2 linked regions of the Notamacropus eugenii genome follow. The protein of the gene in region 1 binds, or shares a complex with, the protein of each later gene. Links are inferred from orthologs where the notes say so. Each region holds a gene or a part of one and is shown on either strand. Other genes may lie near its edges.

Region 1 (15,139 bases):
ATTGCTCAGTAAGTTTCTCTTCTGATCCCTAACACGGTAATGCTAATAAATCAATTTACTTTTAGACATCATAGAATGTCTCTTTTTTTACCATGAAAATTTTCCTCTATAAAGAACCAAAAAAGGGGAATTTTATAAGACGTTGCTAATTTCTATTTGGAGCAGCTTGATTTTTTTAAGAGGTAAGGTGGGGGAAGGAGCAGACATAGGTCTTGTGATCCCATTAGTAGGGGAGATGATCCTACCAATGAAATCTGGTACTTCCTCTGCCACCTAGAGTCTTGGAGGTATCAAACAATATGCCCATAGACCAAATAGGGGCTCCACAGCAATGGGCCCTCGGGGGGCCCACACCAGATTAAAATGCAATTGGGAAATATTTGACAAAATAAAGATAATATTAATATGAAGTTTTCTGAGTCAATATGAAGGCCTGTTTCTATTTGAATTTAACCACACTGAGTTTAACTATTTAACTATTTGAGTTTAAGCACACTGAGTGCTGTGACTTGCCCAAGGTCACACAGCCAGTAGATGTGAGGCTTAGACCTCACAGAATTTCAACTTAATTTCTGTTCAAGCATTGAATAGCAGATGATTTAATTTTATAAGATAATTAAGATACAAATGTTAAGGGTACCTTATATTCCATAAAAGTTAAGAACTGAACTAGAGCCAAGAAGAAAAAAAAACCTAAAGGAATATAAAGTGCTCCTAACTTTCGTATCTTCATGGTCATATAACATTAGCTCATTCACCATCCGACCTTTGAACAGAAATTAAGTTAAAATTCTACAAGGTCGAAAATGTGCAAGAGTCAAAAAGATCCTGTGTTTTTATTTCCCTTCCCAGATGAAATGATTAACCTGAATTTTGCAGAAAGTGCTATAATCCAGTAACCAAACAACCACACAGATCCTAACCTTGGGTCAGAAATGACACTATTTGGTGACAATTCTGGCGTGGAAATTTTTCAGAGAATCTGCTCCTTAGAGGAAAGGATCTCTCTATGAAACAATTTTTTTTTTTAAATCCACATGATTTGTGTTTGACACAGATTTTTTAAAGCAGCAATTCAAACTTATTAGGAATATGTACAGTGGTTTGAATGGTCCTTTCAACTATCAGGGACTTGATGAAGACACACTACTAGGACACTTCTCCACACAATGAAAGGCTATGAAGTTAAAGTACACAAATTTGTGCTCCCAGACCTCTAAGTGACAAGACTATCCCGTCTGCATTATCCTTTACAGGGGCTAGCTAGCACAGGAACATTTTGTAAATAATACTGATTCACATCCACATAGCACTCTAAAATGCTGGCATCACAACCATCTTGGGATGTTTTGGAGAATCACAGAAGCGCAGTGTCGGAAGAGACTCAAGCGGTCATCTCGTCCTGTCCCCAGAGATGGATGATCTCCCAGCTACTCCATCTGTCCTGTATCTTGTTTGGCCTTAGTCCTTTTCATGTTATCACCCCATTCAAATGTAAGCTCCCTGAGGGCAGGGAATACCTTTTGCCTAGTTTTGTATCCCCAAAGCTTAGCACAGTGGTTGGCTATTATTAACTACTTGATGACTAACACCAAAAAACTATTCTCCACTTCATACCCAAAAAGCGACTGTCCCATTCTGGCATGAATACATCTAATAGGAGAGCACCCACAACCGCAGACAAATTAGCCCATGTCCAAATCGGTTTGACAGAAAAAGTTACTCAATTTCTGAGACTACCAATGACATAGCCATAATAACGTAGCTAGTAAGTGTCTGAGGCAGAATTCAGACTCAGGTCTCCGGACTACAAATTTGCCAGACTACTGACAAAAAGCATGATGAGATAGCAACCCAATTCCAAATCATTATGAAGACAGATATCATATGTAGAACCTCAGTGACATAGTATATGATAGATACGAATGTACATATATTATCATACGTATAAATTAATATACGATATAGGAATTTATAATTATGTTATGTCAACATTGTGTTATGCTATATCAATGTGTATATCATGTATTAAATCTATAATATACATCTACATATTAAAACTATATCTATATATATTAAATCTATAACAAACATATATCATATATATTAAAGAAGGAGCATAGTTCCTTCTTCAAGGAAAAGCGCTGATCAAGCAGAAAATCTGGATTCTCTTCCTGGCTACCTGACTCCTCAAGCCTCAGTTACCTGGCTAATAAAACAGGTATAATAACACATATACAATATACCTGTCGGGCTTATCATGAGGATTAAATAAGACAGCATAACATTTTTAAAAAACTTTGTATATCACTTCATGATTACAAGCTGTTTTATATATACGGGTCTTGGAGAAGGGTACAGAGTGACCAAGGGTGAGATGGGAAGGAGACATAATATTTACTCTGTTTTTTCTAATGTACATTCTTTTATGCCAAGAAATTCAGTCGGTGTTCTAACTTTACCTCAAGGGAACAAATGTCCCGTCCAACTCTGTCCTTCCCATCTGTCTACACCACCCATCTGTCTACACTCATCATACTGCTCCCAAAAGTAACCTAAGCTCATACAGTACCTAGAAATCAATGCTCCCCTATGCCAGAAATGAGGAAGGAAACACCACCTGCTGATCTTGGCTACAATCCTTTGGACAATGGGCTTCACATTCCTCCTATATAACGAACCTGAAAGTAAGAACACCTGGCAGATTGATAGACAAATCAGGACAGGAGGAAGAAGCAGCCAAGGACAATTACCCACCCCCTCCTGGAAAGAAAAAAAAATCGACCTTTTCAAAATCTGTGTCCAGCAATCAGAATCAGGATGAAACTTGAATCAGCTGGCTCCAGAACTGATTCAATGTACAATGAACAGAAACAGCTAATGAATCTCTGGGACTATTACTAACAGAAAAGACAAAGAGGGCACCAGGGCAGCATATGCAGAAATGTCCCCTGTGGACAACGAGCACTTCTGAATCTGAGGATGGAGAAGATCGGCCCTTCTCAGAGAGGACCCTCAAGTCTCCAGAATCCTGGCAGTGAGGGTAGGAACTCTGCCCCCAAAGCCTCTCAGGCCTGCCAGGAGGCATGTGTGCCCCTTCAGAATCACAAAGTATGGTATGAAGGAAGAGAAAGCATCATCTCCACTAACCTCAATTTACGCAGAAGGGAATGAAAGTCTAGAGCAGGAAAATGAGCTGTCAAAGGTATGGCAGGGAGTTAGCAGCAGTTCAGGCTGCAACACGGGTCTTCTGTCTTCTGACTCCCAGGTGTTACATTTCCCACTAAAACCATGCTGGCTCTCAAAAGCTGGCTAGACCTTTCCAGCAAACTGCCTTCAAACCACTTAGAGGCAGCTTCAGAATCCCCCTTGCCATCCTGATTATCATAGAACTTTGCATGCTCAAAGTAACCTCAGAAGGCCTTTATTTCAACCCTCATCTATCCCCATATGACTCCACTAAAGACCTCTGGTTTCACACAAATGAAGGATGATTGAGGCCTGTGGTGTGCTGGTAAATGTTAACAGCCAGCTCCCCGCCCCACCCCAAAAGAAAACATTCACACGATACACTTTTAGAATTAGAATTCATTACACTGAAAACAGCTCACTCCATTTTGAGTCAACTTACTGGAACAGTGGAAGCAAGGTTTTCTTTGTGGGGCTGATGTTTCCTTGCTTGTACCTGCCCCTGTTGCTTTTCTCCTGACTCATGCAGAATAAATCACACTCCTCTTCTGTACCACAGCCTGAAGACAGCTAGCTGTCTCAGTCCCTGAGTGGCCAGGATACTAACTCCTTCAGCAGGCCACAGACAGAGTTTATGGAAATGGGAGGATGCTACTGCTGCCTGGAGGAGAACAGAACCTTGCAGGCCAGGTCTTTGGGACCTTACACAGGGAGGCTGTCCCTGTCTTTGGAATAATGTTATCTTCTTAGGAATTAGTGCCGTCAGTGTCACCTCCAACCTCATTCTCACTCACCAAACTATACTCACCCCTACACAAAATTACTATGGATTCATTTTGTACATTTTTTATTTACTTTTTTACATAGATTGTATTTCCCTTCCCACCAGAATGTAAACTTTATGAGGACAAGGAACTGTCTTACACCTTTGTGTTCAAGACTTGCACACAGCAGATGCTTAATAAATGCATCTAGAAGGAAAGACAGTAGGGGGGAAATTTAAAGCAGTACTAGATTTATATTATAATAATGGTCCTATCATACTCTAAATAAGAATAATAAGGCTTTTTGCATTTTATAAAAAAGTGTTTTCCATACACTATCTTGTTGGAGCCTGAAGACCACTAGGTGCACTAGTTACTCTAAGTTTTGTTAACTCCATTTTACAGAAGAGGAAACTAAGGCTAAAAGAGATTGACTTGTTCATTTTAATCCAGCTAAGAAGTGCCAGAGTTGGGATTTGAACGCAAAGCTCCTTCTTAAGACTAGCAGTAGTAACTCCGGCATCTACTGGGTCAAGGTGCCTCTGTGATCCCAGCGAGCTACCACGTAGCGATGCCACCAGCTATGCACTCTGCCATAGCCCTCTCTCCCCACAGTATGCCAGTGCCCGGCCTGGGAGGGACAAGCATTTCTCATCCCACACGGAGGAGGGAGAAAACGAAGGCAGAAGGATGGGGCGGGCAGAGCCCTGTCCGGTGTTCCCAGCCAGGAGCCAGAGCTGCGGCTGGATTGGCATCCAGATCTCCCAGCAGCCCAGGGAGGGACAAGGGCCGGCCTAAGGTCATCCAGGACCAGAAGCTTTGCTTCACTTGCTGCCCAGGATCCTGGCTCCAGGTGGGAGAGACCCGACACCAACGGGTACAACCTCTTCCTTTCACAGAGTGAAAAATAGAGGACGTTCACGCAGCAGAGTTAGGAGGTGAACCTGGGACCAAAGACCATGGTGCCTAAGCACTTAACACAGGGGAGCCCCACCCTAGGAAGAGGGGGAGTGCCCCGAGAAGCCCCAGAGCAGCCAGGCCCCTCTCAAGGTCACGCAGGTAGCCAGAGGCAGGGCTGGGGCCCGAGCCAAAACCTCCGAGACAGGTGTGGGAGGGGCGGGGAGGACCCGAGTGACCCAGCCCCGACCACGCCCCCGCAGCGCCCCGCTCCCGCTCCCGCTCCCCCTCCCCCTAGACAGCTGGGCTACGAAAGGGCGCGCAGCCTCTGCCCTGGGAGAGGATCGCCCCCACCGCCTCCTCCCTAGACAGGTGTACACTGCGTGGGGCGCACAGGTGACCCCCCTCCAGCCCTGCACCCGGCCCTGGGGGAGGGCCGACCCCACAGCCCCCTCCCCCGACAGGTGTACACTGCCTGGGGCGCACAGGTGACCCCCCTCCCCCGCCCAGTCTTGGCTCCGGGGCAGGATCGCCCCCACCGCCTCTTCCCCAGTCAGGCGTACACAGGGAGGGGCGCACAGGTGACGCCCCCAGCCTCTGCCCTGGGAGAGGATCGCCCCCACCGCCTCCTCCCTAGACAGGTGTACACTGCGTGGGGCGCACAGGTGACCCCCCTCCAGCCCTGCACCCGGCCCTGGGGGAGGGCCGACCCCACAGCCCCCTCCCCCGACAGGTGTACACTGCCTGGGGCGCACAGGTGACCCCCCTCCCCCGCCCAGTCTTGGCTCCGGGGCAGGATCGCCCCCACCGCCTCTTCCCCAGTCAGGCGTACACAGGGAGGGGCGCACAGGTGACGCCCCCAGCCTCTGCCCTGGGAGAGGATCGCCCCCACCGCCTCCTCCCTAGACAGGTGTACACTGCGTGGGGCGCACAGGTGACCCCCCTCCAGCCCTGCACCCGGCCCTGGGGGAGGGCCGACCCCACAGCCCCCTCCCCCGACAGTGTACACTGAGTGGGACGCACAGGTGACCCCCCCCCAGTCTTGGCTCCGGGGCAGGATGGCCCCCACCGCCCCCTCCCCCGGACAGGTGTACACAGGGAGGGGCGCACAGGTGACCCCCAACCCCGCACCCGGCCCGGGGGGGAGGACGCCCCTGTGCCCCCCCCGCCCAGGCGCGCCCCCCACTCAACTCTTGACTTTGCCGAAGGTGCCGACCCCCAGCGTGTCGCCCAGCACGTAGTGGCCGATCTTCACGCGCCCGTCGTGCTTCGGCTTCTCCGCCATGGTCCGCCCGCCAGCCCGGCCCAGCCCGGCCCCTCCTCCGCACGGCCGAGCCCCGGCCCGGCCCCAGCCGCCGCCTCCGAAGCCGAAGCCGCAGCCGCCCCGCGGAGCTGCCCCGAGTGGCCGCCGCCGCCGGGCTGCTGTCTACCCACAGTGCCGCGGGAGCGGGGAGGGGGCGGGGGGGAGAGGGGCGAGGAACCCCGAGGGGAGGGGCGAGGGAGCCGGAGACCTGCGCCGGGAGGGGAGGGGGAGCGCGAACTGTCAGGAGGAGGGAGGGAGGCCGCGCGAGGCGGGGAGCGGGCGGGGGGAGCGAGGAGGGAGGAAGACCCGGAGGGATACAAAGTATCCAATAAATAACCAAGCGAGTCCGCCGCTTCCCCGCACCTCGCTCCGCAGCGCGGTCTGTTAGGATCCTGGAACGGAGGCAGCCCTCGCCGGGGACCCCTGGCCTGTGCCTTCAGGGATCTGGGGGGGGTTTACATTCCCAGTTCTGACACCTCCTGCCCCAAGTCCTGTCTGGTGCTAATTTGGGCAGAATCCTCCCAGGAGCTCCTGGAAATCCAGGCATTTACCGAAGGATGCTGTCTTTGCATAGAATTGTGAGAAAAAAGTGAGTTACAGAAGTGGGGTCCTCGCTGCCCCTTCAATACCAAGGTCATGTGAGGGAAGGGGCGGGCAGGTAGAGAGAGTGAGTGCTAAAACCGAGCTCCTTGGGATCCTAGATGACTCTGTATTTTGTGGAAATTGTTGAGGCTAAATCAGATACTAATAAAGTTTGTGTGGAGGGGCCTTAATGTCACTGAGCAGATGACATTAATTAATAGAAATTCCCTTTCTGGAAATGGGACTCAGGTCTCTAAACTGGCCTTTCAGGGAAGGAACTAAATAAAGGGTCCCCAAAGCCTTAGCATGGCTATAAAGGCTATTAGAGCTTTGGGATCACCTCTATTTATTCATAAGAAAGGATGTAACAGGAGCTTGTTGAAAAGCAGCAAATAGATGCGGTGTCTAAGTGTTTTCCAAACCTTTAAGTTTATTCTTGTGTGTGGTGGAAGCAGAGCCCATCTCATAAGCTGATAGATGGTCATTGTTGCTTATTGTACCCAGAAAGATCATTTCAGAATCACTCTCCCTTCATTGCTATGGAGAGAAAACAGGTAGTTCACATTTTTCTGTTGTGATAAATGAGCTTTTCTTTGGCTAAGGCTCACTCCTCCAGGACTCCAGAAAGGGAAGAGTGGACTGGTCCTTCCCCTTGCTCATAGACAATAGGGTCTTTTTTGAAAGGTCATGACAATTTGTTAGTTAATATTCCTGTACTGCCTGTACTGTGTTTACCAAATAGTCAAATGATCATTTTGTGTTGACTCCCTTTCTTGAAGCTCTACCACAACAAAGAATCTAAAGCATATCATTTAATTGCTTTATATTAATTATTAACTAATTATGACAGCTGAAATGATTAAACACCTCTATTATGACTGGGATCATTATAGGCATAACTTTAAAGGATAAAGGATTCAGAAAGGTGAGAGAAAGTTCATATTAAAGAGTCTTGACCACTGAAGGTCTAGTCCAGGGATGGAGAACCTTTGGCCTCTGGGCCACATGTGACCTTCTAGATCCTCAAGGTTGGCCATTTGACTGAACCCAAATTCCGCAGAACAAATCTCCGTAATAAAGGAATGTTCTGTAAAATTTGGACTCCATCAAAAGTCTGCACTTGAGGACCGAGAAGGCCATATGTGGCCTAGAGGCTGCAGGTTCCCCACCCCTGGTCTAATCTGACCCCTTTCTGTTAAAAGCCTGAAGAGGGAGAATTATTTGCCCAAGGTCACACTGCTGTTAAGAGACGGAACAAGACTCAAACTGTCTCTTTGGAGACTCTTTGACTCCAAAGGCCAGGGCCATCTTTCTAATACTCCACATATCCAGCCCAACTGTACAAGCCTCTTCTATAACACCCAATAGCTTGCTGAGTACCATCTCTGATGAGGCAGCTGACAACTTCATGAGGCTAGTCCATCAGAGAACAATCACATTCCAGAAGATCATTGGGTGACCAATCAATTACCCAACAGTTATTAAATTCCTCTGATGTGCCAGGTGCTGGAAATGCAAAGACCCCTCCCCTCTCAAAAAAAGAATCCCAGTCTCTGCCCTTAAGGTTCTTCTGTTTGAAGAAAACATATACTAAATAAATACGCTGTAATCCTGGGTAAGGGAAGGTACTGACAACTTAGAGAATCAGAAGAGACTTCTGTAGACCAAGCTTTAAGACAGCTAGAGATTCCAATAGAAGTGAGGATAGAGGACATTCCAAGCATGGAGCACAGCCAGGGCAAAGCCTTGGAGATGGGAAACAGAGTGTTATGAGTAAAGCAGAGCAGAAGGCCCAATTTTACTGCACCAGAGACCATGGTTAAATATAAAAAGACTTTGAAAAAGTAGACTAAAGTCAGATTGTGAAGAGAATTAGTCACATGAAGGAAGGCTTATTTGAATTCTAAGGCAATAGAGAGAGAGCACTGGAGCTTCTTGAGCACAGGAGTATCGAAGTCAGATCTGTGCTTACATTCAAACATTCAAACATTCAAAGGAGAATGCAGAGACTTGAGGCAGGGAAACTCATTATGTTATAATCAGTAGCCAAGGTCAGAGGGGATGAGGTCAATAGAGAGATGAAGAGAGATTGTAGAGATAGAAACTTCAACCTCAAATTCAATGAAATAATATCTCCACAAAGCCTTTAGCTCAGTGCCTGGCACATGGAAGGCCCAAGACACATGCTTATGCCCTTCCCTTCTCCCAACCTCCCACACTTCCCTTTCTCAGGAAGCCTGTTTCTTTACTGAGAAAATTAGGTCTACACAAAGTGAGCTCTCTCTCTCTCTCTCTTATCCATTATTGTCATCTCAGATCCCTTGGCTGTCATCTATTTCCCACTCTCCCCCACTTTGCCCTAGTCTCTGACAAAGAGGTCTTGGCTCTTTTTTTTTTTTTTTTGGCCAAAGCCAACCCCTCTACATGTGTCCCCAGTGAAACCCCTGGGCCCCATTCTCCAACATCCTTAATCACCCCCTTCTCTCACAAACCTTCAACTTCTTTTACCTGTCGGGACTGCCTTCAAATATATCATATAGTCTTCCTCATCCTTAAAAAAAAAAAACCACACAACTCTTCACTGAAAACTACCATCCCCTGAATTATCTTCCTGTATCTCGTCTTCTTTCTTGGTCAAATACCTTGAAAAAGCTGGTTACCTTCCCTGAATGAAGAAGCTCCTTTCCCACTCTCTTCTCCACCCTTTACCAGCTGGCATCCATCCTCATCACTCAGATGAAACTGCTCTCTCCAAAGTTCCCCAAGATCTCTTAAGTGCCAATTCTGTTGTAGTGGAATTTTGGTTTTTGTTTGTATTTTTTCCCAATTCTCATCCTTCTTGACCTATCTGCTGAATGTGACACTGTTGACTGTCTTCTCCTCCTGGATGCTCCATCCTCTGGATTTTCCTGACACTGACTGAAGAGCCCTTCTCAGTCCTTTACAAGTTTATTCATTAACTGTGGGTATTTCAAAAGGTTCTATTTTAAATTCTTGTCACTCTTTTTTCACTTTTCACTCCTTCAGCTCCATTGATTTAACTGTCATCTCCACTCAGAGGACTCCAAGAACTACATTTCCAGTCCAAGTCTCTCCCCTGAGCCTCTGTCCCCCTATACCAATTTCCCATTGGACATTTCAAATTGTATGTCCTGGAGACATTTTAATCTCCACGTATCCCAAATTGAAGTTATTATATTTCCTCCAAAACCCTCCACTCTTACAAATTTCCCCAATTTTGTCAAAGTACCACCATTCTTCCAGTCTTCCAGGTCCACATTACCCTTAACTTGTCCCTTACCCTTACCTCACATAGCCAATAATTTCCCAGATCTTGCTATTTCTACCTCTAAGCACCCAGCTTCCACTTCAGTTCTCATCACCAGGATGATGGCACCTACCTCCTAATTGGTCTCCCTCCCTAAGTGTCTCCTATTCTAGTCTATCCTACTTAGTGCTGCCAAAGTGACTTTCCTTAATTGCAGATCTAATCATATGATCCCTCTACTCATTCCACCCCATTGTCTCTAGGATCTAATAGAAAACCCACCACTTAGTTTTCAAAGTCCTATACAATCTGGGCCTCAACTTATGTTTCCAGATTCACTGGACATTACTCTTCCTCCTGCACTCTTGGATCCAGACAACTGGGCCTGCTTTCTCACTCTCACAGATAGGACAATCCATCTTCCTACTCTTCATCTTCATCCCATTCACCAACCTGGAAAGGGATGCCTTCTTTCCTTCCCTTTACCTCCCAGAATCCTTCTCTTTAAGATACAGCTCAACTACCACAAATCCTTTCCTCATCCTACCAAGTGTTGATGTCTTCCTTTCCAAATTTCCTTATATTTAACAACTCCGTCTATATTTCTTCACTTTCTACTATATATTTGCGTATGTATGAATGTATATATGTGTCGCCCCCATTGGAATGTCCATTCTTGTGGACAGAGATTGCTTCATTTCTTGTACTTGTATCCCCAGTGCCTAGCATAGTGCCTGGCACACAGTAGGTGATTAATAAATATAATATATAGTAATAGATAAAGTATTTAATATATTATATTCTAAATTGTTATATATTTAATTAAATAATTTAATACAACACATATTAATATTTTTAGAATGTTGGCTCTTTTTGAGTGCAGAGTGCACTAGTATCCTCATTGCCTAGCATGGTGCCTGTCACACAGTAGGTGATTCATAAATGCCAGCTGGTTAACCAAGTGCTTAGCCATCACCTCCCTGCTATCTTCTGATCCTCCATGGTTCCTCATCGTCCCTTCTCCCAACTTTACCCCTTCATTCAGGGTGGTGGTTTTCCTTCTACTGTCCTGCAGCCAAAATTTGGACCAACTAAGAATGATGGCCCACTGTTCATATTTACTCAGGTTCGTTGGCATTATCAAGTAACCTTGATTTAGAGGCCACCTGCTGTTCCCCAAACTGGGCTTTGCCCTTTGCTAAGTAAACCCGAGAAGCCAGGGCTTTGCCCTTTAGGAACTTTTGATCGGGCTAATTCCAAGGTAAACAAAGCTTGGCTAAAGCTAATCCCCCAGAATGCCTAGAAATGCCCTGAAGCACTTGTGCTGAGGTTAATGAGGCTTAGGGGTCAGGAACCAGTGGGAAAGGGAGGAGTGGAGGGAACCAGCTGAAATCCCAAGGAATTCCACATAGCCTTTCTCCAGGAGCTTGGAGAGGAGCATTCAATGAAGGAGCCAAGCCTGGTCTGAAACATGCATGGTCTATGAAACATGCTTCCAAAGCATCCAGGAGATACAATGTTTCTGCCCAAGATACTGGAACATGTGGTCGGTCTTTGTACCAGAAACATCTTGGACAGCTGCTTGAAAGAAAGTCTTGAGGACTTGAATGATGCAACACCTGAGGTGGCCGGACTTCAAAGATTTATTAATAACTTAATATGTGCCAGAAATTGCATTACATACTAGAGATGAGAGGGTGAACTATGAAACAGGCCTTGCCCTTGGGGGGCTTTCAACCTCTCCCATTACATGGAGGAGGAAGGAAATTTGTTCTTCATCTCCCAAGGCAAAACTTGGGGTCATAGGATCTGTTGTTACCACTGAGTCATTTCAATCCTGTCCGGTACTTTGTGACCCTATTGGGGGTTTTCTTGGCAAAGATACTGCACTAGTTTCCCATTTCCTTCTCTAGCTCATTTTATAAATGAGAAAACTGAGGCAAACAGGGTGAAGCGATTTGCCCAGGGTCTTACAGCTCATGTCTGAGGCTGAATTTGAAAGTCTTACTGACTCCAGTTCCGTGTTCTATCCACTGGGCCACATAGTTGCTCTTCATTAACTAGGGTGACAAGGAATTTGCCACAAGGTCTGACAGACGGGATATTCCCTACCACTATCCTTGGCCAACTACCAGCACGACCCCCCATATACAAAACCAGGTATTCAGTTCTTTCTCAAAAAAAAAAAAAATGAGAAGAGGATAAAATTTAGAAAAATATTTTCCCTTGAAATTACATAATTCACACCTTTAAAAAAAGTACTTTGGAAGTTTCCAACACTAATATTTTTTAAAGAAAACATTTTTACCTTTGTTAAGCTAAAGGGGCAACTGGGTGATTTAAATTGATCGGAGCAGAGTCAAGGCAGAGCATTTAACATTCCAACATTCCAACATACCTCCCTCAGCCACTCTTCATTGTTCTCTTACACCTTCACCATATCTTAGGCTCTAGAACATAGATAATGTTAAAATGTGGTTTTCTAAGGCAATGTGCACCAGGCTCCTGTTTCTAGTTGAGTTTGATACCACTGTTGTAGACTAGCTACCCAGCAAGGAGCAAACCGATGGGATCCAGAAGAACAACCTGTGAGAAGAGCTGCCATTTTGGGGGACAAACTGCCTAACCCAGGAGCTTACATCCAATGTAAGCATCAGGCTAGTGAGGGGAAGTAGAGGAACAACTTTAAAGATGTGAATTGCCTACATGTGTGCCTACCAGTCTACTCTGTTTGGACACTGGACACTGTGTGGAGAGTGTTTCCTGGATTTATGGGGAAAATGTTTTATAGCTACTATTTTTACTATACCACCTGTATAAAGTAGAAGTCTTTATGATTGGGGGCTAACAAGTTGTAGAGTTTTCAAATTGGGGTACCCATAGTGTACCCCTTGAACCTTGTAGGAACAGCCACCCACTGGGGACCCAACCTACCAATGCAAGTGTAAGTTGGGGATGTAGCCAGGGAGGGTAGGGGACTTCATTGATTAAATGGGGGGGGGGGGTCATCCTTATTGTAGTGGAGAGACAGCATTGTGTAGTAGATACAAAGTGGGCCTCAAAGTCCAGTCCAGTCTTTCACTGACACCTACTATGCATTTATCCATAAATAAATCACTTCCTCTCTCAACACCCCCTAGGAAACCCTAAGTTACAGAGGAGTTACTGACCTGCATTTGTAGAAGGAGTATCCATAACAGGAATTCCTTCACTAATGAAATCCCACATCAGGTTCTGTGTCTGTCTATCTGTCTACCTCAGTTTCTCACATATAAAATGAAGGAGTTAGACTAAATGGTCTATGAAGTCTTGTCCAGCCCTCTCTCTCTCTCTCTCTCTCTCTCTCTCTCTCTCTCTCTCTCTCTCTCTCTCTCTCTCACTCTCACACACACACACAGAGTGGGTGAGGAAACCATCCACTCCCAATTCCCCTCCACCCCCATCCTAGAAAGAAAATATAAACATAAAGTAGAAATTACATTATTTGAATAGTGACAATAGGCAATAGAATCTGACAGACAAGCTACAAACTGTTAGACCTTGGACAAAGAATTCTATTACCAATGGCTACAATTCAGCTCATAGGAATGTCATAGCAAAAGTATATGTCAAAATGCAAAGAACTTTTGTACCTTGGTAACCTGCGGCCCAGCCCCCAACAGTTGGGTTTCCTGGGTCCAATCTTGGGGGTTATCTGAATAATATCCTTCCCTCTTTTGGTATATTGTGCTCCTATCCATGGCTTGCTTGGAAAAAAAATTGCCAAATATAGCTCGTATTTAGATCTTGACAGATGTAGATAAGGGAATTTCTGATGCAAACCCTCAAAACAAAAATGTATTTATTGGACTGAGGATAACTCCATAGAAAATGCATGAGGTTCTAGAAGGCAACATAGAAAATAAATAGAAGACTCAAAATTACCTATAAACTATGAAATGTAATGTGTATCTATATGCATATAGATACACATGTTTCTATGAGTATATGTGTGTACACATATCTGATTCTCCTCCCATTTGAGTTAACCCTATTCCCTCAGGATCTTTAAGTCCTCCATACTAATAGAACCATGCTGGATTTGGACTCCCCTCAGAAGAAAAGCAAACTTGGGGTGGTTGCTTTTTGGCAACATTCCAGTGGCAGCATTCCAGTGAATCCTACGTGTCCACGTATGAGTTCTCTGAGGGCCTGGCTTCTTCCATCAGGGAAGTACAGTTGGGACTTCTAAACTGGTAATACTCCTACCTGTCACATAGAGAACAACTGGATGCATGTAGCAGCAAGCACCCTGACACATGCAGGATGGCCTGCTAGCACAGGTTTTTAGATCTGCTTTCCTAAGAGGAGAGAAACTTTTGAGGGGTCAACAATTTTCTTTAATCACATATACCAAAAGAGAAAGTACAAGAAGAGAAATAATGACCAGCAGACATGGCTTCTAACCGTCTGACCATAAACAATGCATATATCACAGATGAACAGACAGAGCCAACTATCTGACCATTACATACATACATAGTTACCAAAGAGAGAAGCACCAATATCTGGGTTTTCAAAGCCAGGGGACTCCTTAACAGCTACCCAGAGTCTCATCTGGTCTATCACTTGAACATTCTTCCAAAGAGTAAGCCCCTAAAGCAAAACCTCACCTCAAAGTATATATACACTTTTCAGAGCCAGAGGACAGCGACCCTCTTGACCCAGTGCCTCATTAATTAACAAAAGGTGTGGGCCTTCCTACAAAACAAGCCTCCCCTAATCAACCTCCACTTAATGGGCTCCAGGTGAGGCCTATTAATGGGCAGGGAAGATCTTTAACTCTAAGTAACATTTCAACACACAAAGAGTAATTCACCTCAATTGTGGAGTACAAAGTCAAGGTTCTCTGCTCCCCAATATTGTGACTTCAGTCCTTAGCCACTAACTGTCTTAGCACCAGGATTCTGGTCCACAATTCTCTTCCCTTTCCAGGAAATACATTGTTCAAATAATTTCTATTCTTTCAACAGAAAGCTGGATGCCCAAACTCTCCAACCCCAAGGCTGGAACAGTCCACTAAATTCTCCTGCTTTTTCTTAAGGCTAGAATGATTTTAGGATTGAGTTCTCTAGGAAATCCCTCTCTATAGTCAGA
Region 2 (14,952 bases), on another chromosome or scaffold:
GGTTGGAAATGAAATGAGGAGTGGGGTGGGGTGCTTGGCTGTCCTGCCATCGGGATTGCAGGTGGGGTTGTGATATCCCCAGGCTTCAAGAGGCTGGGGAGGGGTGACCTCAAAATGGTGCAAACATGCCTTGTGTCCCTGTTCTCTAGGATGGAGAGTGATGAGGAGAGCGATTCCCCTGACAGCATCGTCCCAGCTTCTTCACCTGAGAGTATTCTGGGGGAGGAGGCCCCTCGATTTCCCCAGCTGGTATCAGGCCAGCAGGAGCAGGAGGACAGGGCCCTCTCCCCAGTCATTCCTATCATCCCCCGGGCCAGCATCCCAGGTGTGTGTATGTACCTGTCTGTGGTGTGGGTTAGGAAAAGTAGACATTGTGGAAGAGCAGAAAAAGGGCTAGCTCAGTGTCAGGAAAGACCTAGGTTCAAATTTGATCTTCTCTACTTGACCTTCCTAAGCCTCAGTTTTTATCTGCAGAATTGGGATAAGTAGTATTGTGGGGATCAAATGAAAGAATGTTTTTTAAAGCACTAGGTAAAATTAGCTGCTGCTTTGTTTTTATTCTTGTTGAGGGTGGGGAGGGTTTGAGACCGGCTGGGTCTTCAGGGTCTTCCCTGTCCTATTTAGTCTTCCCAGATACCAAGCCCTTTGGGGCTCTGGAATTAGAACCAACAGGAAAGCTGTCTGCCAACACCTGGGAAAAGGGCAAGGGGAGTGAGGTGTCTGTCATGCTGACTGTCTCTGCGGCCGCTGCCAAGGTATACCAATGTGGTGGGGAGAGTGGGAGGCAGGGGGTAGAGGGAAGGAGCCTTGGCCTCTGCTGTAACGCAGTGCCACACTGAGGGCTCTCGGATGACACAGCTCTCCCGCTTCTCTCCATCTCCCTTCCCCCCATATGTCAGAATCTGAATGGTGTCATGGTGGCTGTGGCAGAGTTGTTGAGCATGAAGATCCCCAGCTCCTATGAAGTGCTATTTCCAGAGAGTCCTGCCCGCGCGGGGGGTGCCGAGCCCAAGAAGGGGGAAGCGGAGGGACCTGGTGAGTGTGGCACAGATCGGGTGGGAGGCCAGGGCAGAAGGCGTGCCATGCCACTCTAGATTCAAAGGGTAGTGGATTCTCCCTCACTTCTTCCTACAGGTGGTAAAGAGAAAAACCTAGGGGGAAAACCCGCTGAAGGTGGCAGTGACTGGCTGAAACAGTTTGATGCAGTGCTGCCAGGCTATACCCTCAAGAGCCAACTAGACATCCTGAGCCTCCTCAAGCAGGTGGGGCCGTGGGGTGGGAGGGGTCAGAGCTGGGGTCGGGGGTAAGGGCAGTGCTAACAGGGCAGAGGACCTCAGAGGGGAAAGTTCCGGGATTTGGGAAGGAACAGTGGTAGATACCAGTCTGGTGTTCTGGGCACAGTCAGGAGGCTTCCTTGTGCTGAATGGTATGGGATTGTCTCTGTAGGAAAGCCCCGTTCCAGAGCTGCCTGCCCAACACTGCTATATCCACAACGTCTCCAACCTGGATGTTCGTCAGCTCTCTGCCCCACCACCTGAGGAGCCTTCTCCTCCCCCTTCACCCTCAGCTCCTTCTCCTGCCAGCCCCGCAGCTGAACCCTCAGCCCCATCACCCCCACCACTAGTTCCCTCACCTCCACTGCCTGAAGCAGCTCGCCCCAAGCCCAGAGCCCGCCCTCCTGAAGAGGGTGAGGATTCCCGGCCACCCCGGCTTAAGAAGTGGAAAGGGCTTCGCTGGAAACGGTTACGGCTGCTGCTGACCATCCAGAAGGGTGGCGGACGACGAGAAGGGGAGCGGGAAGTGGCTGAGTTCATGGAGCAGCTGGGCACAGCCCTCCGGCCTGACAAGGTGCCCCGTGACCTTCGGCGCTGCTGCTTCTGCCATGAAGAAGGTGATGGAGCTACTGATGGGCCTGCCCGCCTCCTTAACCTGGATCTGGACCTATGGGTCCACCTTAACTGTGCCCTGTGGTCCACGGAGGTCTATGAAACTCAGGGTGGGGCATTGATGAATGTCGAGGGCGCCCTCCACCGAGGGCTGCTGACCAAGTGTTCGCTGTGCCAGCGTACCGGAGCCACTAACAGCTGTAACCGACTGCGATGTCCTAGTGTCTACCACTTTGCCTGTGCCATCCGGGCCAAGTGCATGTTCTTCAAGGATAAAACGATGCTATGCCCATTGCACAAGCTTAAGGGGCCCTGTGAGCAGGAGCTGAGCTCCTTTGCTGTCTTTCGCCGTGTCTACATTGAGCGGGATGAGGTGAAGCAGATTGCTAGTATCATCCAGCGTGGTGAGCGGCTACACATGTTCCGGGTGGGAGGGCTAGTGTTCCATGCCATTGGGCAGCTCCTGCCCCACCAGATGGCCGACTTCCACAGTGCCACAGCCCTCTACCCAGTTGGCTACGAGGCCACGCGCATCTATTGGAGCTTACGTACCAACAATCGGCGCTGCTGCTATCGCTGTTCCATCATCGAAAACAACGGGCGGCCTGAGTTTATTGTCAAAGTCATGGAACAGGGCTTGGAAGACCTGGTTTTCACTGATGCATCCCCCCAGGGTGAGGCTCTAGGGAGTTAGGGAACCATGTACTGTGTGGGTGGGTAGGACAAACTCCTTCCCAGCTGTAATTCACAGAGGTCTTTGGTGTTTAGTCTTTAACTTCTGTGGCCTAGCATCCATTAGACTGGGCAGAGTTTTTTGTTGTTCAACCTTAATCTTTTCTGCTGTTCTTTTTTTTTTTCTTTTCTCATTTGAGGTGAAAAGAGTTACTTCCATGTCCCCACAGATTAGGTCCAAGCTTCCCTTAATCTGATCCTAACTCATCGTTATTTTCTCTTACTTAGGGTATTAAATGAAGCTCTGACTAGTATTGACTATATTTAGGGGTGGAGGGAGCGGGGTAAGAGATAATTTTTTTGATATTCCTACTTTATATTCCTCACTGTCTTTAGAGCAGAGGGTCTGACCCACAGGGGTGCCATTCCTGTTTTAGAGGGAAGGAGTCAAGGCATAGGTCAGGAGTGGAGAACCTGCAGCCTTGGGGTTACATGTGGCCTTGAGGCCAAAGGTTTCCCACCCCTGGCATAGGTCATGGGAGCCACAGATAAAAAATAACTCTTGTATCTGGGTAAAGCCCAGATATGGGGGGAAATAAGTCTTTTGATGGTCATTTGATTTCCCCTCAGCTGTGTGGAACCGTATCATTGAACCAGTGGCTGCCATGCGCAAGGAAGCCGACATGCTTCGGTTATTCCCGGAGTATCTTAAGGGCGAGGAGCTCTTTGGGTTGACAGTACATGCTGTCCTACGAATTGCAGAGTCGGTAAGGTGGGAGGAGGGCAGGGTGGGCTGCAGGGGATTCTGGGGTAGGCTAATTGGGGTACCCCTGCTCCCAGGGGCCTGGGCTGTGGTAGATTGCTCACTGTGTCCACAGCTGCCTGGAGTGGAAAGCTGTCACAACTATTTGTTTCGATATGGACGGCACCCACTGATGGAACTACCACTTATGATCAACCCTACTGGCTGTGCCCGCTCTGAGCCCAAAATCCTTACTCACTACAAACGGTGAGCCTACTTGTTGAGGGAGTCTGTGGTCGAGCTGGGTTTGGGAGGGATCTGAAGTGAAGGGAATGGGCAGAAAACAGGGTGGAGGATTGGAGACCTTGGGATAATTGGGGGCAGGGGGGCGGAACACAACACAGATGGGGTGAAAATGGAGACATCTTTTCCTTTGGAAACGTTGAGGAATCACTCAGACATATTGAATAGAGGAGGCTGGAGCCAGGGCCCCCTCTAAAGCTTGTCTTTCCTGCCTAACTAATGGGGGTGGAGGGTGGAAATGTGTTAACTGGGGAGGTATGCAGTAGGCAGGTATTTATTGATGTGATGGATGAGGGAGCTAATAGTTTTTTCCCTTTCCCCTCTCTAAAGGGCTCTGACTCCCTCCACCTTGAGCCTAAAAGGGAGCCTTTAGATGTACCCTGGAGTGCTAATGTCCACCTGAGGTGGCCCCAGGAATAATAATTGAAAGAACATTAAAACCTCACATTTGTATAGCATTTTATACTTTTTTTTCCAAAGCGCTTTCACATCCATTATCTCATTTGATCCTCACAACATCCTTATGAGGTAGGTAGGGCAGGTGGTATTACCCCCCTTTTTTTCAGATGAGAAAACTGAGGCCCAAGGAAGTTAATTGACATGCCCAAGGTCACACAGCAAGTCAAAGATGGAGCCAGAGCTAGAGCCCTGGTTTCTTGACTTGTTCAGTGCTTTTCCCACTATGCCATTAGTGGACCCTAGCTCACCAGCTGGGGTACAGGAAGACAGAAACGATTTTAAAGGAGTTCTGTCACTGTATGTGACCAAGCCCCAAGCAAAGAGTCCTGGACTTGATCTCTGGTGTGCAGAGATGAAGGGCAGGAATACAGCCTAGGTAGTTGTGGAGGGAGAAGGTGGAGTGGGGAGTAGGGACGAAGGGTAGGGGGCAGTGGGGGAGGGAAATGGAGTCAAACAGGTTTACTGAATTATTTTCCTGAATTGAATAGTTGGTGCAGAGGCAAGGGAAGAGAGATATCATCCCTGTTTGGGAAAAGTTTGTAGTTTTTGTTTCAAGGGGGAAAAGTGTAAACAACTTTAGTTCTCAAGAATTGTTCTAATGTGGTAAAGGAACAGAATTCTGAATATGCCCTCGGAGTAGAGCTCCAAGGGATAGTCCAGTGACTGGAATGACAAGACATAGACTGTTCCCTGTCCTTGGGGTGGTCGAGGGAAGAGCATCTGTGTTAGGCTAGTCATGAGAGGGTGAATGTATCCACACATCAGGGAATGGGAGAAGTTTCGCTTATTTGATTCCTAGACCTATCTCAGGTTTTCTGAACAGAGGGCCATATGGATTTTAACTGCTGCCCCACCAAGATGGAGACCCTTATAGTAAATTCAGGTTCTGCCTCTATTTGCCCAGGCTATATTTCCCATATGCCCGTAGCACATGTCCTGAGGCCTGGCTGACATTTGCCACATCCCAGAGTTGGGGGTTGGGTACACATCATTGTGTGTCTACTAGATCTGACTTGCCATTTTTCCTGCTGTCCCCAGGCCTCACACCCTCAACAGCACCAGCATGTCCAAGGCATACCAGAGCACCTTCACGGGCGAGACCAACACGCCGTACAGCAAACAGTTTGTGCACTCCAAATCATCACAGTACCGCCGGCTCCGCACCGAGTGGAAGAACAACGTGTACCTGGCTCGATCCCGTATTCAGGGCCTGGGGCTGTATGCTGCCAAGGACTTGGAGAAGCACACAATGGTCATTGAGTACATTGGCACCATCATTCGAAATGAGGTGGCCAACCGTCGTGAGAAGATCTATGAGGAGCAGGTTAGGGCCAAGGAGAGGAGCTGTGTGTAGAATGTTCCGGGGATTCAGGACGATGGGGCTATGGCGGGCAAACTTGAGTCTTCAAGGGAAAACGAGAGATATTTGTGGAAAGCTGGAAAGCCTGAATCTGTTTGAATCTGTTTCTCCTGTTCCCTTCCTCTTTACAGAATCGAGGTATCTATATGTTTCGTATCAACAATGAGCATGTGATTGATGCCACACTTACTGGAGGGCCAGCCAGGTAAGATGGAGAGGGAGGGAGGGGCATGTCAGGGTAGAACTGGCCCTAACCTGAATTGTTCCCCTGACACTGACCACTCCCTGGTCTTTTCCGGTTCAGGTACATTAACCATTCATGTGCCCCTAATTGTGTAGCAGAGGTTGTGACCTTTGATAAGGAGGATAAGATCATTATCATCTCCAGCCGGCGCATCCCCAAAGGAGAAGAGGTGAGAGGAAGTCTTAGGAATGATGTGATTGGCAGTGATTTCCTTTGTATGTTTTTTTTTTCCCTAAGCCTGACTGGACTTGATCCTTTCTCCCTTCCCTCCCCAGCTGACCTATGACTATCAGTTTGACTTTGAGGATGACCAGCACAAAATCCCCTGCCACTGTGGAGCCTGGAACTGCCGAAAGTGGATGAACTAAGCTCAGAGGCAGCTGGGCAGGGGAGACCCTCCAGAGCCCTTCCCAGAAGGGTTGAAGGGGAAGAGAGCCAGGACCCAGAGCTGGGGCTGCTGGCTGACCAGAGCCCTAGGAGCAGGACGGGGCTCAGGGCCCTTTCTGGGCACCAGGGATGACTTCCCTCCCCCACCACAGGCCCCAGGCTGGCACATCTGCCCCCAGCTCCAGGAGCCGACAGACAGAAACAGCCATTGGGCATCTCAGGTTCGGGGGGTGGGGGGGTTGGGTAGATATGGGCTGGGAACTACCCAGCACCGTCTAGGAGGCAGCAGAGACGGTGAGGAGGGTGGCAGCTTGGGTCTCCCAGCCCCAGTGCTCCCACTGACGTCCCCAGCCCAACTCAAGGCTGCAAAGAGACTTGATTAAGCTTGACAATCCCAAAGGCTGGGTCCCCACACCTGGCCCTGCCCGCTGGGTCCTGTCCCTACTTCCCAACCCCCATCTTCCCTTTCTCTCTGTCTCCCTCTTCTCCTCTATGTCTCTCTCTGTCCCTCTTTCCATCTCTCTCTTTCTGGGTTGTGTTTCCTTGTTTTCTCTCTGACAAATGCAACACGAACGGGAAAGAGGCACCCAGCTGCCCGGGTGGGGCGGGCAAGGCAGGCAAGCCGGGCAAGGAGATCCTGCACCCACACCTACCTCATTTAAGTGTTGGATTTTTTGCTGTTTTGAAATGTGAGACCCTCTCCCCAGCCCTCTGATCCCTCAACCCCTTGTCTGAACTGGGGGTAGCAGGGAGGGGGGGGTAAAAAGGAAAACCTTTAGAAAAAAAATCTGTTTTTAACTGTGGGCATGGGGTAGTGACTAGGGCTGATGGGAAGCGATTGAGAGAGGGTGACCCCTCGATCCCCTCAGAGGCTGGGCATCTCTCCCCCTCTGAACAGGTTGGAAGGGAGAGGTATTGGGGTTGTGTTTCAGAACCAGGGTGTCCTCCTCTTGTACTCCCAACCCCATCATGAGCCCAGTGCCTCCCTCAGCCTCTCCCTGGATTTGGAGGGGAAAGAGATTCTCTTGAGTTGTGTACCCATTCCCCGTGGGGCAGGTTGGGGCCCAGAGCTCCCTACTTCCCCAGCCACCAAACTGCTGCTGGTCTGGTGGGAAAGGGAGGTGTTGGGGGTAGGGGAGCTTAGTGTCATCGTGGGGAGGGTGGGGGGGTATTTATCTATTTATAAGCCGGATTGTATATAGTCATGTGGGGCATGGGGGGGCCAGCAGGAGGTGAGAACCCTCCCCTCTCCCCCCCACCCCCTGGGGAGAGCAAATGTAAAACTACTAATTTTTGTGCTTTATATATTCTATATAAATATATCTATTTTCTTTTTACAAAACCAGTTTATAAATGGTAGGGGGCGAGGGGAGGGACACCTGGAGCTCCCCTTGTGGGGGAGCTGCCCTCCATTATCCCAGACCTGCTGCCCTGCTTCTCACCCCCCCCCATCCCCTGGCTGTGACTGCTGTAAAGGTGAGGGGAGGGGACAGGGGCTGGGCTCAGTTTCCCCACTCCCAGATGTACAGTTGGACTTTTATAACGCACAAAAGTGATCTGGCCCCTAAGGGAGCCAGAGGGTGACGGGTCCCCTCCCTCCTTTTTCTCCTATCTCCCTCCCTAACTTGTGCTGCAGGTGATTGAACCTCTTCCTGGAGTGGGGGGGGTGTTGAAGTAACCCCTAGGCCCCTCTCTGGTAGGGAGCCGTAGATTTGCAGATGAAGTTTTTATTCAGTTCTCTCTTCTAGGGGCTGTGGGCAAAGGGCGTTTTGTAATTATTTTAAAGCATCAGAAATCTGGAGCATGAGGATGAAGGTGATGCCAGTGGAGAGGGCTGGAGCAGGGAGCCTAGTCGCTGTTGTGTTTTTAGTTGTTTTTTTTCTTTTGAAGTTTTTGTTTTGTGTTTTAATTTGAGACAGAATGGGGTGGCAGGGGTGGGGAGGAGGCTGAAGATTTTTTTGTTTTTAGGGAAAAAGACAAAGCTGCTTCCGCAACTTGTTTAAAGATGCAAAGGTTTAAAAGAACTCCTAACCCCCCCCACCCCCCCCACCCCCGCCCCCAGCTCCACAGGGAGCAAAGAGAAGCTGCTGTAAGTAAACCAGGAGCAAGACTGGGCTTCTCTAGCGCCCTCCCCCCACCCCACCCCGCCCGCACGACCCCAGCCGCCGGACCTCTTCCTCTCCGAGAGCAGAAGGCCCTCGGGCCGGAGCGGAGCCCAGCGCAGGGTCTGGGCTGGGGGCAGACTTTGTAAGGTATGCTAGGTATCTGGTAGTCCTGTAGATCTTAGTGAAGAACCTTATACAGTTTTTAATTTTGATACAAACTATCACGCAGACCCAGGCTGCAAGGTTGGAACTTTGGTTTTCTGTTGTTCTTAGTTCCCCGCTTGTACAACGCATCGGAAGCGCCCCGCCCCCACCCCGCGTTCGTGTTTTGGGTTGGTTTACACGCACACCCTCCATTTTCAGTTTCCCCTTCATCTCCAGGACTCTCCTCCCCCTCCCTCCCTCGGCCTCCCTTGGATAAAAACCGCTGACCAGTGTGAATCCCGTGGAGACTTGACTTTGTGTTGTGTATGCTGTACAGCCAGGTTTGTCCTTCGTAACAACGGATGAAATGACCCCTTCTAGGCCGCGCCCTCCCGCCCCGAGCCCCCGTCCGTGGCATGTTTTGTATCGGCGATCATTATGAACTGTACATAATTTATGTTGTGAGAGGCAAAGGGCAAGTTTGGGATTTTGCTTCTTCCAAGTTTGTTTTTAAAGGACAAATAAAAAAAGCATTTTAAATACAAGTCGCCTGGAGTCGCTCGGTAGCGCCGCCGCCAGCGGCCCGGGGCCGGCCAAGGCCGGGAAGGGAGGGGGAAAGGCAACGCCCCTTCGGCCGCTCGCAGGCGACTGGTCGCTACCGGAAGGGCGGAGGCCGCGCGTCTTTAGGTCACGCGGGAGGAAGTAGGGTGGCGGTGCCGGAAGTGACGAAAGGGGCGGATCCGGAAAGAAGCGGCCCGGAGGGCACGAAAGCCGCTGGCGCGGAGCGGGATGGAGACGGTGAGAGGGAGAGGGCTGCCAGCCGGAGGGCCTGGCGGCGGGCGCCTCCCGGCCGGGGCCAGCCGGCTCCCCGCTGCCGGGCTGAGGAAGGGAGGGAGGGGGCGGGGACCCCGGACCTCCTGTCTGGGCTGTCCGTCCCGGAGCCCGGGGCTGCCCTGACGCCGAGGTCTCGCCTTAGGAAGCTGCTCGGCGGAGGGCGGGCGTCCCTCCGGTGCCTGGGCCCCGGGCCCTTCCGGGCGCTAGGGAGCCTGGGGCGCGGGCCGCTTGTGCCAGCCCGTCCCTGCGGAGCGTTCCCATGGCCGTAGTCCTCCTTCCAGGGGTCGCCCCACCCATTTCACGTTAGCTGTTACCCCTCTCTTTAAAACAACAACAACAAAAAACGGGTTTTCTTCCTTTGCAAAGGGTAAAAGTGGGACCTCCAAAAAATGACATAGGGACGACGTCAACCTTGTAAATTTGGGAAAGTGCTCTTGACTGGACTGGGAGGCAGGAGGGCTGGGTTCAAATAACAGCTCTGCCGTCGATGAACTGATCTCGGGCGAGGTACTTCATCTCTCTAGGCGCATTTGGACCCAACGGTCTACAAAACCTCTTCCAGTTTTAAGAGTCTGAGATTCAGTGACATGGGGCATGCAAACTAAGGACTGTGATGAAAACAGCAAAGAGCTGGAATACTAAGAGCTAAATTGTCCTCATTCTGATCACTGAGTAAAACTCAGGATAAGTTATGTACGGCCTGAAAGAGTCCAACCCTGCAGTTTAAGGAAGTAGCTAAGAAGGATCCGACCAGCATGGGAAAAATGTCCTTAGAAAACATCCTGGGAAGAACCGTGGCTATTGAATAACCGTCCACTGGCCTCTTCCCCCACCCTGGGAACTTCTTTTAAGTTAGTTACAGGGCTTTGCACATTGTAGGTACTTAAGAGCTATTTAATGTTTCTAATTATGTTCTTTTAAGTGACTCTTTGTATCCTATTAGTGACTTTTTGTATCAAATAATATGTAAAGCTCTTTGCAAACTTTCAAGTGCTACACAAACTTAGCTGTAATTATCTTTCTAAGTGTCTGTCTAGGTATGTCTCTGAATATACATGTGACCAGGTCTATACATTTGTATAGATTGTGTACATTTGTGTTTCTACAAATCCAGTTTTCCAGTCCAAATGTCTTATTTGTGTCAAATCATCTGTGCCCCTCTATTGCTCCCTTATGGTTTACATAGCAACTTTGTTTCCAGGCACATTCATAAATAACCTACTATCTCAGTTCATTCTATAACCATCTCTGGGAGGTAGGTGGGAGCAGAAATTTTTGAGGAGCAGATAATACAAGTGGATTCATAAAGATAAGGTTACTTAGCCATATGTATGTTTGTATCTATTCTGTGCTTGTCTATCTTTCTGTCTTAGTGCAGCACTCTGACCATCTACGTCTTCCAGTACATCACCATCATAATGTTTTGCAGTAATTCAAATAATCTGTGATTCCATCCATATAAATATTCTTTCCACCAATAAAGAAATGAAGCTTTTCTACAGCTTGGATAGATATATAAGTTTCTGTGTCAAAAAAAATCATCACTTGGTAACCATCCTTTTGGTGATGAGTCTCTCTGAATTTAGGTAGGCTAATCACTGAGCCTGAAGTCTGAACCATTCTGGCTTGGTATAGGACTTGTCATTGTAATATAGTATCTAATACAAAACTGCAGGTTACCTCCATAATATATAATGAGGCATCATAATGGGAAGTTTAGTGGAAGTTCAACAACAAATATTTATTGAGTACCAGCTGTGTGCCTAGGGTACTGAGATTACTGCTTTCCTGGAGGTTACATTCTGGTTTGGGAGACAAGATATTTGTATATGAAAAAATTATCACAATACAAGGTAGTATATAAATGCCAAAGTGGACAACTGCTCCATTTCTTGGTCTCTCTTTATGTTATCCAGTCTTTGGTTTTTGTATGTTGTGTGATCTTGTCTGTGTCTCCTGTATACATGTATGTATCTGCATTGCTCAGTAACCTTCACATGCAGGTGACTAGATTTGTTCCAGTGGCATTGCCAAAATGTCACACGCAGCAGACAGCAGCAATGGAATTCGGTTCTTGCTTCCTTTGGGGGTGGGAAGCTGTCCTTTCAGCTTGCCTTTGACCTTTGTTCACTAGCCAGCAGAAAGACTCCAGATCTTTTAGCCTTACATTTTTGCAAAAACTTGTGGGGCAAAAATGCAGTTTTTGGAACCATTTTCTGAATATGTTGAATTGCAGCTACTAGTACAGATAGAAATCAGCATAACTCCTTTTGGGTAACATTGACATTTCCAGGAAGTATACAGATTTACCCAAGTTTTGGTTACTCTGAGCTAGGGAAGGAGGCAGGAACTGCCCCTTTACCCTCTCTATGTCCCTAGGACCAGGAAGTAGAGGCAGTTAGTGTTTCTCTTGGCTTTGGAAGGCTCTGGCTCATCAAGTGATGCTAAAGTGCAGGTCTGACCATATCATTCTTCCCATTGTAAACTCCTTTAGCTCCATATTTTCTCCCAGATCAGATATAAAATTTTCTCTTTGGCTTTTGAAGCCCTTCATAACCTGGCCCATTCCTGCCTTCAAAGTTTTCTTACTATCCTCCACATGCTGAGATCTCAAATAAGACACTCCATCTAACGACTCTGAGCATTTTCACCAGCTGTCTTCCATGCCTGGCACAGTCTCCTTCCTTATGTTTACCTCCTGGCTTCTCTGGCTTTCTTCAGATCTCAAAGGCCCACCTTCTGCAAGAAGTCCTCCGTAATCTTAGTGCCTTCCCTCTGAGACTATCCCCTGTTTGTCTTGTATATATCTTATTTGTACATAAGTTTTTGCATGTTGTGAAGCTTAAATAAGATAATATTTGTAAAGTGCTTTAACTCAGGGCCTGGCACATAGAAAAAGGTGTTTAATAAATGTTTATTCTCTTCCCTTGTTTCTCCATTAGACTAAACTCCTGGGGACCAGGAACTGTTTATTTTTTACCTTTCTTTTTGTCTCCAGTACTTAGAGAAGTGCCTGGCATGTAGTCAGAGCTTAATAAATACTTGTTGACTGATCCACTGAATTGACAAAAGGTATTGGGTTGGAATTTCGAAAAAACTTCTTAGCTACAGAACATGTTTCATGTTTATCCTTCAGACATTCAAGTGGTGATGACTGACTGGCTGCCAGTTTCTCCCTGTCTTTGTGATTAGGGACCAAGTGGCATGGTCCTTATGCTCAAGATAGTACTTGGGGAAGGCATTGATATCCCACTATCCTGTTTTTGACCCCCATAGCAGATTCTTTGGGAGTCAGGTGTGGGCCCACATTTTGGGCTACGTTTTCAAAAGCTTTTGTAGCTTAGCCTAGGCCAGGAATCACTGGTGTCAGTTTTAAAGCATTGTTTCTTTTATGCTGCCTTCCTTATTGTTGGGGGAGGGGTAGATTCAAGAGCCATGAGAAACATAATGAGGTTAGTAGATCCTAAGTTAGGCTTAGTTCCTTTGTTTGTCCTTCCAGGTCACTATTCCAGAGAGTGGTATGGAAAAATGCACCCCAGCTCTGGAAGGTAATATATTTCATCATGATATACTCCAAGAAGGATGGGTACTTCTGTGAAAACCAGTGACCAGTCTATAATTGGTCTTCAGTTTCAGCAGGTTTTGTTTCTCTCCCATTGTACATGCTGGGGATATCAGGGCTGAGCCAAAAACCAGAGATATTAGGCCGCTTTATAAGAATTAGAATCAAGAGCTTATATAGGGAACAACAGGAATAAGTTTGGTGTTATAGGGGTGCTTATTAAGATTGTCATAAGTGATTTAGATAATTAGAGTAGGATTTTTTTTCAGTGGGAGATTCTGAACTGTTGTCAGTGGGAGAGCTATAGGCTAGAAGACCACATTATAGAAGTCCCTGTTACTTATTAAAGACCCCAGAGCCAGGAACCACCAGTCTTTTGTCACCCAGCATCTGAGTGTGTACCCTCACATCTGGGATGGCTTTGAAGACTTCTACATTTTCCCAGCATTTCAAGTCAGGAATAGAATGGATTAGGGATATAGTAATAAAATCCAAGACACAGGGTTTAGCAGTCCTACAGTGTTCCCAAACTCCTGTCAGTTTTGAGCCATTATGAAAGAACCCTGAATTGCCTTTACAGTTGCTTCTCTATACTGTGTGACAGGCTTTCGAACCTCACCCCAAAATAATGAAATAATCTTCCATTTATTTTAAAAAAAGATTTCTATTGCCGTAGGACATTAAGATTCCAAAGAGATGACGTAGACCTTCCCTGATGGATAGAGAGAGGAATCAGGACTTGACCTGTGATTTCATTGGTATAGGGAATCTCCTTCAGCTGAAGAAGCTTCATTTACCAATCCAATCAGTACCTTCTCTGAAACTTCTAGTCTTAAAAAATTGCCTAGAGTACTGACGGATTAAGGGATTTGCTTGGGGTCACATAGCCGGTATGCAATAGAGGTAGATTTGATCCCAGGGCTTCCTAGCTTCCAGGACAATCTTATATCCACTATGCCACACAACCTCTATAAAACGTATAATTTAAGGGGGTAGAAGGAAACACATGTACACAAATAACTATGATAACGAAGGAGTGATCCAGGAAAAGTAGCATGTGAAATTTTAGGGAAGATCATTTTGATTTGGTTGGGAAAAGGGAATAATTCCTGAAGGAACTGGTATCTAAGTTGAGTTTTAAGGGAAGGAGGAGACTTTCAGCATTAGGAGGTAGAGTGGAAAATTAACTAAACAGGAGAACAGTACAAGTTTGGAGAGGAGTGAGGGAAGGATGAGAAGTGGGGATAAAAGCTACCCTTGTCTGTTCTGAAAGTAGGGTATAAGAAAATGAATAGTATGAAGTAGGACTAGAAAGGTAGGTTGGAAGTTGGAAGGTTATGGAGACTCTTGGGTGCCAGGGTAAGGAGCTTTTAATTCATTAAGTAGTGGGCAGCCATTGAAAGCTATTGAAAAGATTATTGACATTAGGAAGATTATTGGGGCAGCAGTGCGAAGAGTGGAAAGCAAGGAAGCCAGTTAGGAGGACCTAAATATGCCCCCCTTCACCATTTCTGGAACTCCTTGAAGCTGCTGTGGACTTCCCAGACAGACTTTTATACTAGCCTCAGAGACTCTAGAGGCTCTATGGGATTTGGAATAATGGCTGAGGATAAAGGATAGAGATAGCTCTCTTCTTTATATTAAAAAAAAAAATCCATGTTGGGCACAGGATGAGGTAGGACAGTGCAGGCTATGGATATTTCCCTAGTTTGACAAAGGATATGGAGATAGTCTCAGTTTTCACTGGATTCTGAACTTGCCCTCTCTCTCAAGGCCTTATTAGTGGTACAGACTATTTGTGGATTTTTCTTACCCATCAATAAGACTTTCAGGATCCTACACCCAGCCTGACCTCACCCTAGACCCATCCTCAGAACCTTAGACTGCTGGAGGGAAATACAGGAAGCAGGAAGTCCCATCCAACATGGTGTTTTACTAACACACACCAACATGGTATTGAATTGGAATGGCTTGGATAAGGCAACCATTCATTCCTATCAAAAGCTCTCTGAAGCATCACAAGACTCTTATTCTATTCCAGGAGAAGAGCAAGAGAGAATGAACAGAAGTTATGGTGAAAAAACTTAGCTCAGAGAAGAACCTTCCAGACAAGAATAGACTTCTAAGAGATTATCCTTTGGAGAACTCTGAGTAGAACATTCTCTACCTGACAGGAATTGACATAGCCCTGCTGAAAGATGAAATGGTCTCTAGCCTTGGGAAACTGAGAATTAGATGGATTCAAAAAATCCTT

The links.
Region 2: the proteins of PRKAA2 (region 1) and PRKAG1 are in contact, whole or in part, in a crystal structure (PDB 6B1U), measured with the Homo sapiens proteins. The link is inferred for Notamacropus eugenii from reciprocal best matches to the Homo sapiens genes PRKAA2 and PRKAG1. Residues at the interface, in NP_006243.2 of Homo sapiens: Asp329, Asn330, Ile333, Met334, Ala337, Phe340, Tyr341, Leu342, His366, Pro367, Glu368, Arg369, Met370, Pro371, Pro372, Leu373, Ile374, Asn444, Val446, Thr447, Pro530, Arg531, Leu532, Gly533, Ser534, His535, Thr536, Met537, Asp538, Glu541; in NP_002724.1 of Homo sapiens: His36, Asp40, Leu41, Ile42, Pro43, Thr44, Ser45, Val50, Phe62, Leu64, Val65, Thr66, Gly68, Val69, Arg70, Trp75, Ser77, Lys78, Lys79, Gln80, Phe82, Pro158, Glu159, Ser160, Gly161, Asn162, Lys170, Arg171, Lys174, Phe175.

Annotation. Positions count from the first base shown.
Region 1 is NC_092873.1:516,700,952-516,716,090, reverse strand, and holds the start of PRKAA2 (5'-AMP-activated protein kinase catalytic subunit alpha-2), read right to left. Parts: upstream 6,233-15,139; 5' UTR 6,136-6,232; coding exon 6,042-6,135; intron 1-6,041. UniProt on the Homo sapiens protein: Catalytic subunit of AMP-activated protein kinase (AMPK), an energy sensor protein kinase that plays a key role in regulating cellular energy metabolism.
Region 2 is NC_092874.1:220,885,142-220,900,093, reverse strand, and holds the start of PRKAG1 (5'-AMP-activated protein kinase subunit gamma-1), read left to right. Parts: upstream 1-8,987; 5' UTR 8,988-9,091; coding exon 9,092-9,100; intron 9,101-12,635; coding exon 12,636-12,684; intron 12,685-14,739; exon of another isoform or gene 14,740-14,904; intron 14,905-14,952. Other genes in the region: KMT2D (histone-lysine N-methyltransferase 2D), read left to right, coding at 1-1, 150-325, 625-755, 900-1,035, 1,135-1,262, 1,447-2,560, 3,189-3,325, 3,437-3,567 and 4 more. UniProt on the Homo sapiens protein: AMP/ATP-binding subunit of AMP-activated protein kinase (AMPK), an energy sensor protein kinase that plays a key role in regulating cellular energy metabolism.